3 linked regions of the Arabidopsis thaliana genome follow. Each later gene encodes a partner of the first gene's protein in a complex. Each region holds a gene or a part of one and is shown in the gene's direction. Other genes may lie near its edges.

Region 1 (5,235 bases):
TGGGATAATAAACATGCCGGGATTAATGTCTTAGTCTCCAAAATGGTATTGATGGGAAAAGCAGAGTATTTTCAGAGTTTTAAGCAAAACGCTGATGAGTTTATCTGTTCTTTATTGCCTGGAATTTCTCACCCTCAAGTCCAATACTCACAAGGAGGATTATTAGTGAAGAGTGGAGGAAGTAATATGCAACATGTAACATCTTTGTCTTTTTTGTTACTAACATACTCTAATTACCTAAGCCACGCAAATAAGGTGGTGCCATGTGGCGAATTTACAGCTTCTCCTGCTCTTCTCCGTCAAGTCGCCAAGCGTCAGGTAACTAAACTAACCAACATTCCTCTGTTTTAGCATAATAGAGAGATTCATTAACGTAAGTGTTTGGTGGCGTACGTTAACATAGGTGGACTACATACTAGGAGATAATCCAATGAAAATGTCGTACATGGTTGGGTATGGTTCGAGGTTTCCACAGAAGATTCATCATCGTGGCAGCTCGGTTCCTTCAGTTGTGGACCATCCTGATCGTATAGGGTGCAAAGACGGATCTCGTTATTTCTTCAGCAATAATCCTAATCCTAATTTGCTAATTGGCGCCGTCGTTGGTGGGCCTAATATCACCGACGATTTTCCTGATTCGAGACCTTACTTTCAGCTGACTGAGCCCACTACTTATATCAACGCACCTCTTTTGGGCCTACTTGGTTATTTCTCGGCCCATTATTGATTTCACACCTCGAACTCGAACGAAGCATGAAAGTCTATTTTTGTTGTGAAACATTTTTAGTTGATTGTTACCGATTAGTAGATTCACTAGATTCTCTAAATCTACGAACAAATAATTGTATAAATTAATCGAGTACACAATAATCAATTTTTAATCATATGGGAGTTAGGAAAAACAAAGAGTAATAATGAGAGAAAGGGGGAGACAAGAGTAATTAATATTTTGATGACCAAACTAATCAAAAATCAGGAATTTGTCTTTTGGACTTTGGTCGGCTGCTTTACGCTTAACACAAAAGAACGCTATTTTGTCTCCTCCACGCAATTACCTCTTCTCACTCTCAGACATTTTGTCAAACAGATGGTGCTCGTTTCTGAATCAGCTTAAGAACTAACAAGGAGACAGACACTAAGCTTGGTTTTTCTCTCCGATTAGACGGAGGAAAAAGTGAAAACGAGGGGCTTAGACGAGTGATGTGATAGAGATGGAAGGAGTTGAGCTAGAATTAGAAAGAAGAAGCAAGTTCTTGAACAGTTTGATACAGAAGAAGAAGGCTAAAGAACAGCAAGATCAGAAAGATGAGTTCAATGTTCGTGTTAGGGCTTCAGATATGCCTTTGCCTCAACAGAACAGAGCCTTTAGTTTGTCGCGTGAGATTTTGAATGCTACTCCAGGGAAGGCTGATAACAAAAGACTCGCTCATGCCCTAAAAAAGGTTAGATCTTTTGTATCTCTCTCATGATTTTTCTGTATTTGGGTTGAATTGGAGTCATTGAAGTCTAGTACTTGGATTGAGTTTTGAATTTTGACACAGAATCTAAAAGTATTGAGCTGCTTTTGGGTTCTAGGGCTACGTCTCAAAGTCGCATGCTTTTTGTAGAATGTGGTTATGGTCTTCTCTTTCTTGATTGGTTTGAAGATGTGATGAATCTTGAATTTGGATTTTCGTTTGTGTACTTGCATATTGTTGAACTTCATGGATGGTCCCATATTTGTTAGGTTGCATTTGACTTTGTTCCATTGTTGTTGTCTTTTCTATTTGTAGCTTCGGTTAGTCTACTTGACTAGGTTGTTTTTGTATTGCGAGGATAACTGTAGTAGGAGTCTCGTTGTGAAATGTCTTGAAACTGGATGTTCTTGTTGTTTATTGAGATGATTTTGGAGCTGTCTTAGGCCATAACTAATGAGGCATAGCATGCACCATCTGCTAAGCTTCTGTATCTTTGCTGTTAGAAATTAGTTGCTACCTAATGATAACTCTGAAGCATGCTTGCTTTAGGAAGTGAGCCTTGCCTGAATACAACCTTTTACAAAGGACTTGGTTCGACACCCCATATATAGAGTTGTCCATTTATGCAGTTGTTTCTCGTGAGGATATTGTTCCTTCTTAAAGCGGCTTTGATAATTAGCTTTTGATTTTAACTTATGGAGCGAAATGGAGCAGTTCCCTCAATTTATGCGACTAGGTAGAGGCATTGATTGATCCATACATTGATTTTATGAAGTGGTTGAGTAAAACAATTTAGTGTTCACTTATCTGTGTGCAGCTTACTTGTTTGTCTCAGTGTTCATCAATCTCTTAATAATGGCTACCTCCCTTTGGCTTTTAGGATTGACATACGAGTCAATTTCTGCTGTTGTCTTGTTTTATCTTCTTGTTCTGGTAATATAGATCTCTTATCTCGAAATAGATCTTCATATGTTTCTTGTCTCTATGTTTTCTCCTAAATCCAGCTTCTATGTTATCCACTGAAGTGAATCTTAGACTCCCATCTGTCTAATGACATGTTGCAGCTGATTTAAAACTATATATTCACGAAACAGTTTTCCATCTGTCTTCCATTTCAGGACTTCGATTCAGCCTACGGCCCGGCATGGCACTGCATTGTTGGAACAAGCTTTGGTTCATACGTGACTCATTCCACAGGAGGATTCCTATATTTTCAGATCGACAAAGTTTACGTTCTTCTCTTCAAGACTGCCGTGGAGCCGTTAGATCAAAAATGAGATAAAACGTTGATGATCAGAGCATCTTCAATTTAATCCTTTTCTTTTAGAATTCTCTGTCTTGTATCCCACAATGTAATTCTGCCTAAGACAAAATCTTTGTGGCTCCTATTGTGTAATTAGAAGTCATCTTCTCTACTGTGAATCGTTTCAACTTCACAATGCAAAATATTGTTCTTCTCTTTCTCAAATTCTAATTTTGTTTTTTTCGTTGTTGTGTTGTTGTTGTTGTTGACATTTTCTTCTCTTCAAAAGAGCTTTAAACCCAAAACCTCTAATACCAATTTTGCTCCTCCGTTTTATAAGCATCAAAGAAAAAAAGAATCAGTGAAGAAGAAAAAAAAATGGATCAATCGCAGCGAACAGTCGCTGCAACGCCATCGTCTTCTCGATCGTACCAATTCCACCCAGCTCGTGCTGCAATTATCGATCTTTTCAATCTCTACTTAGGGGTTGGTTAATCTCTTCTCCAATCTCCCAATTTTTTTCATCGAATTTTGTTTCTCTGCTGATTTTGCTTTCTCTATCACAGAGAGGAAGCCGTCAAAAGCCTGATGAGTCCCTCCGAGATCCCCCGTATGTTGTTTCTATTGATTCTGAATCAACTCTTGTTTTCTCTTCCTTCTGTGTTTGATTTTATCCATGTTGATTGTTTTGATCAGGAACAAATCACAGAAGCGTGTTCATGCTCCTAATAGAGACTTACCACCAAGAAACGAGCAATTCCTTTTGGATTTTGAGCTGCTTCAGAGCCAATTCAATGTAAAGTCTCGTTTTTTAACTATCTTTATCTTTCTCTTTGTGATTTCGTAAGATAAAGTTTTTTTTTTTTTTCCAACTCTTTGTTAGGATCCAGAGCAATTGAGGACGATTACTGAGTCAGTTTTGATATCTCTGGTGGTGCAATGTAGCAATCATGCGCCTCGTGCTGAGTTTCTACTCTTTGCTTTGCGTACATTGTGTAGGATTAGTTATATCAATTGGGATACTTTTTTACCATCCCTTCTCTCTTCCGTTTCCGCTGCTGAGGCGTCGTTAAGCCAAGGTGTTCAAGCAGCAGCGGCAACGGCTGGTTCTTCTGCTACTTCTTCGCAGTCTGTAGTTCCTGTGTCTGTGAATCCAACGTCATTGCTGCCTTCAGCTCATGGTATTGGTTCTCCATCAGCTTCAGAGGTGAAATCTGTGGAGAATGGGCAGCAGATTGCAAGAGCTGGCCAGATTGTAAGAGAGAATGCTATGAGAAATAGTCAACGGATTAGAGCTGCTGCTGTAAACAGTCTGCGTCAGCTCAGTTGCAAGATTATCTTGATTGGCGTTGAATCTAGTCTCAAACCCGTTACTCATGCCGAGATTTTCCAGTACATGATGAATTGGCTTGTTAACTGGGACAGGAGAGATCTGGGAACTGAGGACTCTGTAGGAAAGTCGTGGAGATCTGAGAAGACTTTAGCTGAATGGTTGCGGAGTTGTTTGGATGTGATCTGGCTGTTGGTAGAAGAGGGTGAATCTCGAATTCCGTTTTATGAGTTATTGCGCAGTGGTCTACAGTTTATAGAGAACATACCTGATGATGAAGCCTTGTTCACTCTTATCATGGAGATACACCGGAGGCGAGATGCGATGGCCATGCATATGCTCATGTTGGACCAACATCTTCACTGTCCATCATTTGGTACCCATCGTATAGTCTCCCAAATAACTGCCAATGTTCCACCCGAAGCTGTGCCACACTTACGACATTCACCAATTACATATCCAAGTGTGCTTGGGGAACCTTTATATGGAGAGGTGATTCCTATGAAATTGTGGAGATTGGTTTCATAGCTTAGTTGGCTCTTGTTGATATTGTGTAATGTATACGCTTTTCATTAGGCAGACAATTTGTGAATTTCAATCCTCTCTTCTTCTTTTTCGACACCGGCAGGATCTGGCGATGTCTATTCCAAAAGGAAGCCTGGATTGGGAGAGAGCAGTGCGTTGCATTAGACATGCTATTCGCACTACACCGTCACCGGACTGGTGGAAGCGTGTTCTTGTTGTGGCCCCTTGTTATAGACCATCTACACAAGCAGGGCCTATCCCTGGTGCTGTATTCACTTCTGACATGATTTGTGAGGCAATCATTGACAGAATTGTTGAGCTTCTTAAGCTGACCAACTCAGGCAATGTTTGTCTTTCCCTATTTCTCATGTCTTTGATCTGTCACTTCCATTTAAATCTGTGGAAATTATTTTGAAATAGCAAGTGGTTTTGCTAGTCGTCACAATCTGTAAAGAACCTACATCCTTTACGTTTTATTCTAGTTCTATAATCGTTGATTCGTTAGGCTTAGATAGAAAAGATAAAAGTAAGAGTTGAGATACCATTATACTAGGATTGCTTTGGTATTGATTTGGTATCTGTTACTTTTCCCCCTCTCTATGCAGATGCAAATTGCTGGCAAGAGTGGCTGGTTTTCTCGGATATATTCTTCTTTCTAATCAAAAGTGGGTGTACTGATT
Region 2 (5,220 bases), on another chromosome or scaffold:
AACCATTTCATCAAGAACAAGCTAACCAAACTATAAACCAGCAAGTGCAAAAAGCAAACTAATTTACTCGAGGGCAATGCAATTCTAAACCCAACTTAACCCAATTAAAGAAAATTTAGGGTTAATATGAAGAAACTCTTACTTCACCATCTCCGATTTGACGCTTAAATCTCTGCATTTCCTCAGACATTCTTCCAATTTCATCCTCCAATTCACGAACCCTAGCTTCTGCTTCTCTAGCTCTCTCATCAGATTCATTCCCAAACTCCATCAACGCATCACGATCTTGATGATAAAGCAAACACTCTTTCTCCAATTTCTTACACTGACTCAACAAATTCCCACACTCACTAGCCAATTTCTGATTCTCTTCAACAAACTTCTTCAACGCTTGCGCATTCATACTCGCTTCAGACTTATAAAAAAAAAAAAAAAAAAAAAGATTCAGATTCAAATCAATCAAATCCCAGAAAACGAAAGATACCCAGAAAGAAATTACTAACCCTAACACGATCGATTACATGATCTTTCTCCTTTAATCGCGAAATCAGACCCTGATACTGTTCGCGAAGACGGCGTTGAGATTCTTCAGCCGTATAAAGCTTCTTCTGAAGAGATTCCATGGAGATCGGAAGACCTAAAGAATGATCAATTGTATCTTTGATATATTCTTCGACTTCTTGCGAGAGATTTGTTCTCGATTTTGTTTCTGCTTCATCTGAATCAATTCTCTCGCTCCGCATGGTTTACTCTTGAAACAAGATTTGGATTTCAAGAAGAGAATTTAGGGTTTCAATAGGAAGAAGAAGAAAGGGGAATTAGTAAAAGAGACGGAAGAGAAGAATTTCAAAAATGAAATCAGAAGTTTGTAGCCGTTACAAAAGTTATTGCATCGATCGATTCGTGCCTACGTGGCATGTTTTAAGTGGCGGAAATATTTGGCTCCTAATGCAATTTTTTGGTTATGGTTTTTGGGATCCGGTTTGGTTTATTTTGTCGGTTTTACTTGTGGAAAACTTTTTTTTTTCTCTGTTCGGTTTGACACAATTCGGTTTTTGTTCGAGTTGGTTTTTTATTTCGGTTTTGTTTTTGTTTAAAAACGTATTTTAAATATCAACAAAAAGTGATTACCTAAAATTACAATTTAATGTCATTATATCAAACAAATAATTATCAACTAAGTAATTATTTTTCCTCTATTTTCAGCTCAATTTTTTTTATTGGTTTATTTTTATTTTTTCATCTTGACTAGTATTAAGCAAAAGCGTATCATTCAATTATATAATTGTATCAATTTCCAATTTATTTCTATATAAATTTTTCATTTTTTGAGTGTACTAGGATAAAAAAAAATTATATCATTGGGTGGAATGAAACCTTAATGTTTCATGACTATGCATAAAAAATGAACGAAAGATGAGAAGAAACATGAATCAAACCTTTATTTTTATTTAGATGATTAGATGAGATATATACATTAGGAATTTTGATTCGTTCAGTTAATTTTGTTCAGTTTCATAAAATTTAAATTTGATTTAAGGTTCAGTTCCAATAATTCTATTTATAAGATTTTAAACTATTAGTATTATTCGAATTTGGATAAGTTCGGTTAGATTCATTCATGTTTTCACCACTCATTTCCTAAGAAAACCTTTTTAAAAACAAGGTCATTTTAAGAAACACATAATTTTACACGAAGTCGTTTTAAATGAGGTAGTTTAAACGAGGTCGTTTTATCTTAGTAAAACAAACAAACTCCTATGCTTTTCTCTATATAATGCAGTGTACGAGTCTTAATTTTTCGTTATACTACGTATTCCCAAGAAGATCATCACCAGAAATCTCTTTCATCGGTAAGTGTTTCTCGCAATCTAATCTTGTATTTTGTTTTTATGGCTCGATGATTATTAAGCCTAAAAGTCTTTACTATGCCTTCAACTCATCTTTTTAAAATGATTTAGATAAGATAAAGATAAAAAGCATCGTTTTATAAACTAAATATACTTAGAAGCAGAATTGAGTTGTTTATCCGAGATGTATGAATTTTATATTTAGATTGTATTCAAGAAGTGATATATTTCATATTTGATTCGTTTAGTTAATCTGTTGTCGATCTACTACTATCACAGAACGTGTGATCCCAAACGGATACTCATAGCAGATCTAATGAATTTCTTTAGTTTTTGTAAAAAAATGTTTCTTATTTTTCAATTAATTTTGGTAAATAATTTAATTATAACATTAATTTCTTAGATTTGTTTCCTTTTTATTTAAAGTCAAAAGTTACTTTATTTTTTTCTTATAAGAATTTATATTTTCTTCCCTTTTATCTTGATAAGGGTGAGTACACTTATGTAATTGTGCACATGCACTAAAATATCTAATTATTCTCTATGTTATAATTATTTATTAAAAAATGAAATTTGTATTATGATTCCAAAGTTGATGCATATGTATTATTTTTGGTCTGTAAATTACTTTTAAAAATAAATTTTCCTTTCCATATAGACCACGTTCTATTTCAAATGAAAGAAATGATTAAAAAAATGAACTCCATTTGAGCATTTAAATGTATTTTCCTTATGAACACTGATTGAAATTCTATCAAAAAGTATTTTTTGATTAAATAATTTTTTGCTTTATTGTAAAGTTTTATCATTTTGTTTTTTGGTAAATTATATATCTGAATACAACTATATTATATAAGATATTATTGTTTGTGTATTATTGTAAATTAATAGAGATCATTTTTTTTTAATTTTGTTGTCAAGTGAAATTTGTTGTACCTCCATTAGCCATGCCCGTCAAATGGTAGGTTTGATGATTACATAAACTAAATAACCATTATTGTAATTTCTTTTATAATACGTTAACCTTTTTTCAAATTTCTTTGGGGGAATACTTTTCCAGGCTTTTGCATTGGCAACCAAATCAGGGATCAACATTTAGCAGCCAAATCCTAAACGAAGTAACACAAAGCATAGAGAGTCTCAATGGCGTCAAAGAGGGAACATGGAAAGCCACTCTCAACTATTACAAACCCATGTTGCAAGATCAGGCGAATCAAGCTGAGTTCCCGCGTGAATTTGTAGGAATTTCGCTTCCGGAGGAGCCAGATAAGTACTATTTCGTCATCAGGTCGCAAAGGATCGTCGTGGAAGCAGATTCTTCAATTCAAATGATCATGGAGAGCCTTCAGTCTTACAAATGCAAACTCTCGTTTTACTTTGAAGGGCTTGAGTATCAACTTGGGGATTTTCGTTTGAGAGTTGGTAAAGTTGTTCCTACTCATGCTGAGACCATTAGAGGCGTAGTCATGGAGGTAACAAATTTTATATCTTTTGAGTACGTTGAGATATATTAATAATCAATGTTAATGATTATCTAACACTCTAGTTAATTCATAATTTGGAGTTTGTAATGTAACTCAGTAACTAAAGGTTATTAGCTATGATTGGTAACACACATAATGACGGTTTCTAATGTGATTAGGCAGAAAATTTGTCAATTAAGAAAATTTGCATAATCTACGGTTTTCCATGCAACAAGTTTTCATTATACGAATTTTTAGTGCTATCAACTTATGCCATTATGCTATTATGCACTACTTTCATTTGAAACCTATAATTATGTGTGTGTACTATTTAGGTGGAGTATCTTCCTATATCATCAATGGGAATGGCAAAAAAATTGATGGAGGAGTTCTTGGAGATATGGCAAGAAGCTATGTCGAAAAGGTCGTTGCCGGGTAAGTTTGTGAACAAAGAACTCAACTTTGAAAAGTTTGGACTTGGAGACAACTACACTCCGCAACATACCGCTGTTGGATATGCTTTCTTCATGGCTAATTTGATGGCAGCAATTCAAGCTGGGAGAGGCTAAAGATAATACAACAAAGACTTTTATGAGTTTTTGTGGTATCATTGATTTTAGAAGTCATTAAGGATTGAAAAACAAATGGTAGTTTTAAAAAGTTGGAAGACCAATTTGTAAACTTGAGATTGGAGCAGATTGTGAATTCAGTTTCTTACCAACTTTTTGGTTTGTTTTATGACTGTGAAAACTTTATGAATCTTTTGACCCTAAACTCAATTACTGGTCACTTGTGTCTATAAAATGCATAAATAAAGCGAAAATGTTGGATTACGATTGGGCTTAGTGTTAGTTATTTGGGTCAGTCATTGAGTTGGGCTTAAGGCCCATAAATGAGAAGAATCCCAAATGCAGAATCAAAACGCAAAGAAGTTTTGGCGGTTGCGATTGCATGTTTTCTTCCAAACAGAGCTTACCGGTAGTAACAAACAATATAGAGAGAAAGAAGTGTGAGAGCTACAAGTTTGAAGAAATCGAGTAGAGAGAGAGACAGATCTAGATTCTTCTTCTTCTTCGTCTTCTTCGTCAACCTCTAGAAGACTCGTGTAGGTACGTAGCTTTGAATCTCTTCTTCTGTAACCTGAAATTTTGTTAATTCCTCTTGAGAGTGAAGCATTATCGAGTTTGATCTTCGAGAAATTGTACATAAATCGCTTGTTTCTCTCGTGTTCTTTCTTTGTACTGATTTCAAAACTTGAATCGCAAAGAACAAGCGATAAGATCAAAATCAACTACCAAAATCACTACAGAGAGCTATTTTTCTTTGGATTTTGGTTTTAAACATGTGTTTGATTACGATTCCAGACTGAAATTTGTATCTGAGTCAGTGGATTTTTTGGTGTTGCCTTGTTGATTCGTTCACGTTGTAGTAGTAGATTTCAGAATTTTGCTTTCGTTGCTTTGAGTTTAGCTTAGGATTTGGCTTTTAACAGAGTTTCTATTTGAGTAGAATTGTAAAATAGAATTTGATGTCTGCCAAGTGTTTGATGAAATTCCTCTGAGAAATGAACCTTAAGTTATTCTAGTGTGTATTAATGGATTTCTTCTTTGTTGTTCAGGTTATTGTGATGGAAGCTGTGAAGGAAGCTGTGAGGAAGATTAAGTCCTTAGTCATACCACATGCAGATGAGAAAGATAATGGTATTGTTTTTGAGATCAAGCTTAATGAGACAGATCAGAGAGTAGAAAAGTGGGGTCTTGATCCTTCTTTGGTATGTATTGTCTTCTACTAAACTTGGCAACTTTTTTATGTTATAAGAGTTTTCTATTGAATTTACTATGTCCTTCGTTTGATTATCTTGCATTATTAGGATTTTTTCGAGGTAACAGGGAACTGTAATTTGGGAC
Region 3 (5,235 bases), on another chromosome or scaffold:
TTTTCTTCCACCAGCTATTTGATTGACTGATTCTTTGTGTTTCGAGCTCTAATTTATAGCTGAATTTTGCGTAATTTCGCGTAATTTCTACTTAATTTGCTTAATCAGATCGAAGTTTGGTTATGTGGTAGATCATCTGGAGTTTTGCGTATGCAATTGGATTTTGCAGAAGCAACAATGTCTTCTTTGATTTGTTAGGTTGGATTGTATATTCGATAGATCAGAATTTATATTAATCGCTGATGAATGTTTCTTCTCATAAAACCGAAGTATGGTTTAAGCTTATCTTAGGTTGCCAAAATGATTGAGTAGAGGACTTGGCATCTGGTTTCTGCATAAATAGTGGTATTTTGCAGAAGTCGTATCTTTCTTTATTAAAAATGTTTAACATGAGAACTGAAAAAACTTACTACAAGTCAGCTTTTAGAGCTATGCATGAAACCAATTTCCAACTACAGTCCTAAACTACAATTCAGATTTTGGTAATGGTTCGTTACTTCCACATATTACATTGCTCTTTTGTGTGTGTGAAAGGCTTCTCTCTCTTTTAGAAAAAAGAATCTTACTTTGTCCTGACAATTTTCTCGTGTCCTTAGGTTTGATCGTGACTGGAAAAAGATAGAAGATTTTGTTGGTTCAAAGACAGTTATTCAGGTTTGAGATCAGCTTCTTTGGATTTTTGGTTTAATATACAACCTTGGCACATTTCCCCACTCAATCATCCTGTGCCTGTTTGATTTACTGCAGATCAGGAGCCATGCCCAAAAATACTTTCTAAAGGTCCAAAAAAATGGGACTTTAGCACATGTTCCACCCCCTAGGCCTAAGCGCAAAGCTGCTCATCCATATCCTCAAAAGGCATCGAAAAATGGTTAGTTCTATTGTAATAGATATTACTTTGGGTTGACAGATGGAGTAACATGTAATCAATCTGATTTCAACTCAAATCTGCAGCTCAAATGTCGCTTCACGTTTCCATGTCCTTTCCTACTCAAATAAATAACCTGCCTGGATATACTCCATGGGATGATGATACATCTGCATTGTTAAACATTGCTGTAAGTGGGGTTATTCCACCAGAAGATGAACTTGATACTCTTTGTGGAGCAGAAGGCATGCGTTCTCATCTGTACTCAGTTTTTATATTTTGCTTTGGTAGTCTAGTCACTCTATCTTCTGAAGTTTTCATATGCTAAATGCGGCTTACATATCATTGTTTCAGTTGATGTTGGATCAAATGACATGATAAGTGAAACTAGTCCTTCAGCATCTGGTATCGGAAGCTCAAGCAGAACACTATCAGATTCTAAGGGTTTGAGACTGGCGAAACAAGCTCCCTCAATGCATGGTAATTATCTGAACAATTGAGGGACTATTTCTTAGTTTTCATTTTGTGGTGGACGCTGTTGTAATGGTTGCTTTGCAGGTCTTCCTGATTTTGCTGAGGTTTATAACTTCATTGGGAGTGTGTTCGATCCTGACAGCAAAGGCCGCATGAAAAAGCTCAAGGAAATGGATCCTATAAATTTCGAAACTGTGAGTTGGAGCTTTACTTGCCTTTAGATTAACTGATATGTGTGTTGCAGCATATCAATCATTTAGTCTTCTTCTTTGAGTTCCCGAATAAATTCAGCTGTGTGAGAAGATAAATATAAAGATCAGTACTTGCAATATATAGATTCACGAGTTGGAAACACCAAAAAGCCAAAGTACCATGATTCTATGGAGATGTTGGTCAAATAATGGGATTGTTACAACCATGAGTCAGTTTTAGGTGTCATGGTACCTATTTGTAGCTGTCAGTGATTGTTCTTTTTCCTAGTATCCGTCACTAATCACAGTTTTTCTTGCAGGTTTTGCTGTTGATGAGAAACCTCACAGTGAACTTGTCAAACCCTGACTTTGAACCTACTGTAAGTTATAATTTTATCATTACTTCTGTGCTCGTTGAGTATGTGAGGCACATTTGTCTTTTCGTGATAAGAATGAGTGAGAAAAAGTCTCTAACAGCTAACAAACCTACTTACTATCTGCCTTGAAGTTTAACTATAGAAATTAAGACTAGTTCGCCTTTAGTGTGTTATGTTTTTAACCGTTCCAATGATTAAATGAGGATTGTTGTGCTCTATGAGATATAATCTAACCATAATTTAGTCTGAATATGTTGATGCTGCAGAGGAAGGTCATGAACACTTAAGCTCTTAGCTGTTTGTGCACTCAACAAGTTATATATCTTCTTGACGACTTCTTGCTCGCAACAACTCTCTACCAGCTATCAAGTAAGTTTGGTGTTATACCGCATCCCTCCGACACCAATATAAAACACTATAATAAGAACGTTCGCATTGACTTAATAGATTATATCGAAACCTAACACCACAGTTCACTAAGGTTTTCACCTTAATGTTTCTCATTTGTTACTGTAGTTATTGTCTCACATGATCGAACGTCATAATAAGAATGATCTGTAGATCATAACTGTTATATTCTCAGCGTTGCTGCTATTATTCTGATTACACTACCCTTAAGGTCTTAAGAATATTGCTCTTACGGTCTACCAAATTGCTATTGATCTCTGTATATGGTGGATTGTGTCAGATGCATTCTACGGTTGTTGTCTGAGGAGAACATAACTGAGTCGTCGTCACAAACAAGAGGAACATATGCAGTTTCGGTCAGAACCAGTCGTGTGAATGGTAGATATATGTATGTGTGTGTAGAAAATGGTTACCAATTGTATCTTCTTTTTGATAATTATTTTTTCATGCCTTTTGTAATATGTAAGTTTCTTTACCTCGTTCTCTGATTGGTTATTTTCTGGTTATCTGTTTAACCAAAAGCTATGTAACACAGTAGCAAATTGTTACTTAACTCGGAAGTGAGATACATAACTCTGTTGTATTGCACTTGTATCAAGCGTTAACGTCCATGATTCGTCTCTGTTATTGTCAATAACAATTGTTCGAAAGCCAGGTTAATGGTAATTAGGAAATTGAACCGTATCGGTATGGTTTTAGCGGGTCTTTAGACTTTTCTAATTGATACTGAGGGTTTGCGAATTTTGTATAAACAGTTGAACACTAAACAGAGAAGAGAAGCTTCGTCTCTTTAATTATCTTCGATTTAAGAGATTCTTTCGCCGTCGGCGAAGATGCTACAGCATCAGATCGTACAATCTCCGGCGAGATTAGGGTTAACAGGTCCTGGCTCTCCTTCCGTACAAAATCCGACGCCTACTCGTCATGGCCATCCAACCTCTTCTTCATCTTCCCAATCTCAGCACCAACAGATCCAACAACAGCCTAATCTACTTCCTTCCTCCACCGTCGCCGCCGCTTCCTCAGCCTCAGCTTCGGCGGCTGTTTCATCCTCCGCCTTGCTATCGCTCCTTCCTCCATTACCGCGAGCTCAAGCTCTTCTCCAGCAGATGGCGGTTTTGACATCTAAGCTCTTCGACGTCTCTCCCAATCGAGCTATCTGGCTCTCAGCTTTCCGTGGCTCTCTCCCTTCGTTCCTCTCCTCACACTCGTTACCACCTCCGCCGCCGCTTGAAAACCCTAGTCCTTCATCCACGAAGGAGATCCTCTCTCAATTCAATTCCCTCCAGACTCAGCTCTTCGAAGCCGTTACAGAGCTTCAAGAGATCCTCGATCTGCAAGACGCGAAGCAGAAGGTGGCGCGTGAGATCAAATCCAAAGATTCATCTCTTCTCGCTTTCGCTAACAAACTCAAGGATGCAGAACGTGTTCTCGATATGCTTGTTGACGACTACTCCGATTACCGCAAACCAAAACGAAGCAAAATTGAAGAAGATGACGAAGACAATGATAATGAGTCTTCTTCTTCTTCAACCACAGTTTCGTCTCAGCTCAAGTTAAAGGACATATTAGCTTACGCTCACAAGATTAGCTACACCACATTTGCTCCGCCGGAATTCGGTGCAGGGCAAGCACCTCTCCGTGGTGCATTACCACCAGCTCCACAAGACGAACAAATGAGAGCTTCCCAGCTCTACACTTTCGCTGATCTTGATATCGGTCTGCCGAAAACAGTAGAAAACATGGAGAAGAAGGTTGAAGCACTGATTGAGCCACCACCACCACCAGAAGCTATGGATATATCTGCTATTCACAACCTGCTTCCGCCGAATATCGCAGTTCCTTCAGGATGGAAACCAGGAATGCCAGTCGAATTGCCTAGAGATTTACCATTGCCACCTCCTGGATGGAAACCAGGCGACCCAGTTGTGTTACCGCCACTGGAGTCAATTGCTGCACCTAGAGCAGAGGATCATCAACATATGAGACCTTCTCAGGGACTCCACAGACCGCCTGATGTCATACAGGTCCGAGCTGTTCAACTTGACATTTTGGAGGATGATGATAGCAGTGATTACAGCAGCGATGATGCAAGCTCAGATGATGAGGATTAATCAACATTGTGATTGATGGTTCTCTGTAAGGTAATGATTTGACCAATGTTACTGCTAATTCTTGATCAAGTTTGATTTTCTACTTGGTTTCGTTTTGTTTAGCAGTGCCTTTATGTGGATAGATGTTAGTATATGCTTCATCGTTATCAGTATCTTTGATGTATCAAAGTTGTTTCTTACGAAAACCCTGGATTCTAATTCAGTTTACAGAATTATTGGTTATCTTTTTTCCAGAATCATTCTTTAGCTTCAAATTTCAAATTATTAGTAAAATTCAGAATGTTCAACTATTGGAGTTATGCAACTTGACATTTTGGATCGATCTCTCTATACGACAAAGTAAAATCCCTCTTAGGTCATACATACATATCAGAGGCTCTTTCTGCCCATTTCTTTATTGTACAGTTTATTGTTCCATTTGGGCTTCTAATAATATAATGGGTTGACAAAATAAGTAGTAGCCCATTTAGATCTAACCTGTTGAATCTGGACTAGCCACGTGGTCGAATATAATTGTAGGGAAATAAAACTAAAATTGTGTTCTTGGAACAAAAAAATATAATAAAAAAAATCTGACAAAAATATCCATTCATTTCTCTTCTTCTTTCACTCTCGGTTGCCTCCTGGTTCTTTTCTAGTTTCTACTACTACTACTACCTCTAATGGCGGACAAGCTAGCTCTTCCTCTTCTCCTTCCCTGCACTCCTTCCTCTAAACCTTATTCTCACGACCAAAACCACCATATCTCTCGGACGCCTTTTCTTACTACGTCTCTTTCGTCACCACCTCCTCCGCCTGTAGAG

What was found.
Region 2: AT1G23230 (region 1) and AT4G09070 share a complex: the UniProt entries of both Arabidopsis thaliana proteins name them as parts of the mediator complex.
Region 3: AT1G23230 (region 1) and AT5G02850 share a complex: the UniProt entries of both Arabidopsis thaliana proteins name them as parts of the mediator complex.

What each region holds. Positions count from the first base shown.
Region 1 is NC_003070.9:8,241,403-8,246,637, forward strand, and holds the start of AT1G23230 (mediator of RNA polymerase II transcription subunit), read left to right. Parts: upstream 1-3,037; 5' UTR 3,038-3,078; coding exon 3,079-3,186; intron 3,187-3,266; coding exon 3,267-3,310; intron 3,311-3,396; coding exon 3,397-3,496; intron 3,497-3,583; coding exon 3,584-4,522; intron 4,523-4,658; coding exon 4,659-4,901; intron 4,902-5,108; coding exon 5,109-5,235. Other genes in the region: GH9B6 (glycosyl hydrolase 9B6), read left to right, coding at 1-318, 404-727; AT1G23220 (Dynein light chain type 1 family protein), read left to right, coding at 1,212-1,442, 2,576-2,734. UniProt on the Arabidopsis thaliana protein: Component of the Mediator complex, a coactivator involved in the regulated transcription of nearly all RNA polymerase II-dependent genes.
Region 2 is NC_003075.7:5,799,511-5,804,730, forward strand, and holds AT4G09070 (TATA-binding related factor (TRF) of subunit 20 of Mediator complex), read left to right. Parts: upstream 1-2,797; coding exon 2,798-2,811; intron 2,812-2,910; coding exon 2,911-3,322; intron 3,323-3,648; coding exon 3,649-3,882; downstream 3,883-5,220. Other genes in the region: AT4G09060 (uncharacterized protein), read right to left, coding at 143-415, 504-743; TOC75-IV (Outer membrane OMP85 family protein), read left to right, coding at 4,908-5,084, 5,184-5,220. UniProt on the Arabidopsis thaliana protein: Component of the Mediator complex, a coactivator involved in the regulated transcription of nearly all RNA polymerase II-dependent genes.
Region 3 is NC_003076.8:649,008-654,242, forward strand, and holds AT5G02850 (hydroxyproline-rich glycoprotein family protein), read left to right. Parts: upstream 1-3,040; 5' UTR 3,041-3,151; coding exon 3,152-4,432; 3' UTR 4,433-4,756; downstream 4,757-5,235. Other genes in the region: LCL1 (LHY/CCA1-like 1), read left to right, coding at 597-654, 748-871, 955-1,113, 1,223-1,348, 1,427-1,536, 1,854-1,913, 2,155-2,205; AT5G02860 (Pentatricopeptide repeat (PPR) superfamily protein), read left to right, coding at 5,095-5,235. UniProt on the Arabidopsis thaliana protein: Component of the Mediator complex, a coactivator involved in the regulated transcription of nearly all RNA polymerase II-dependent genes.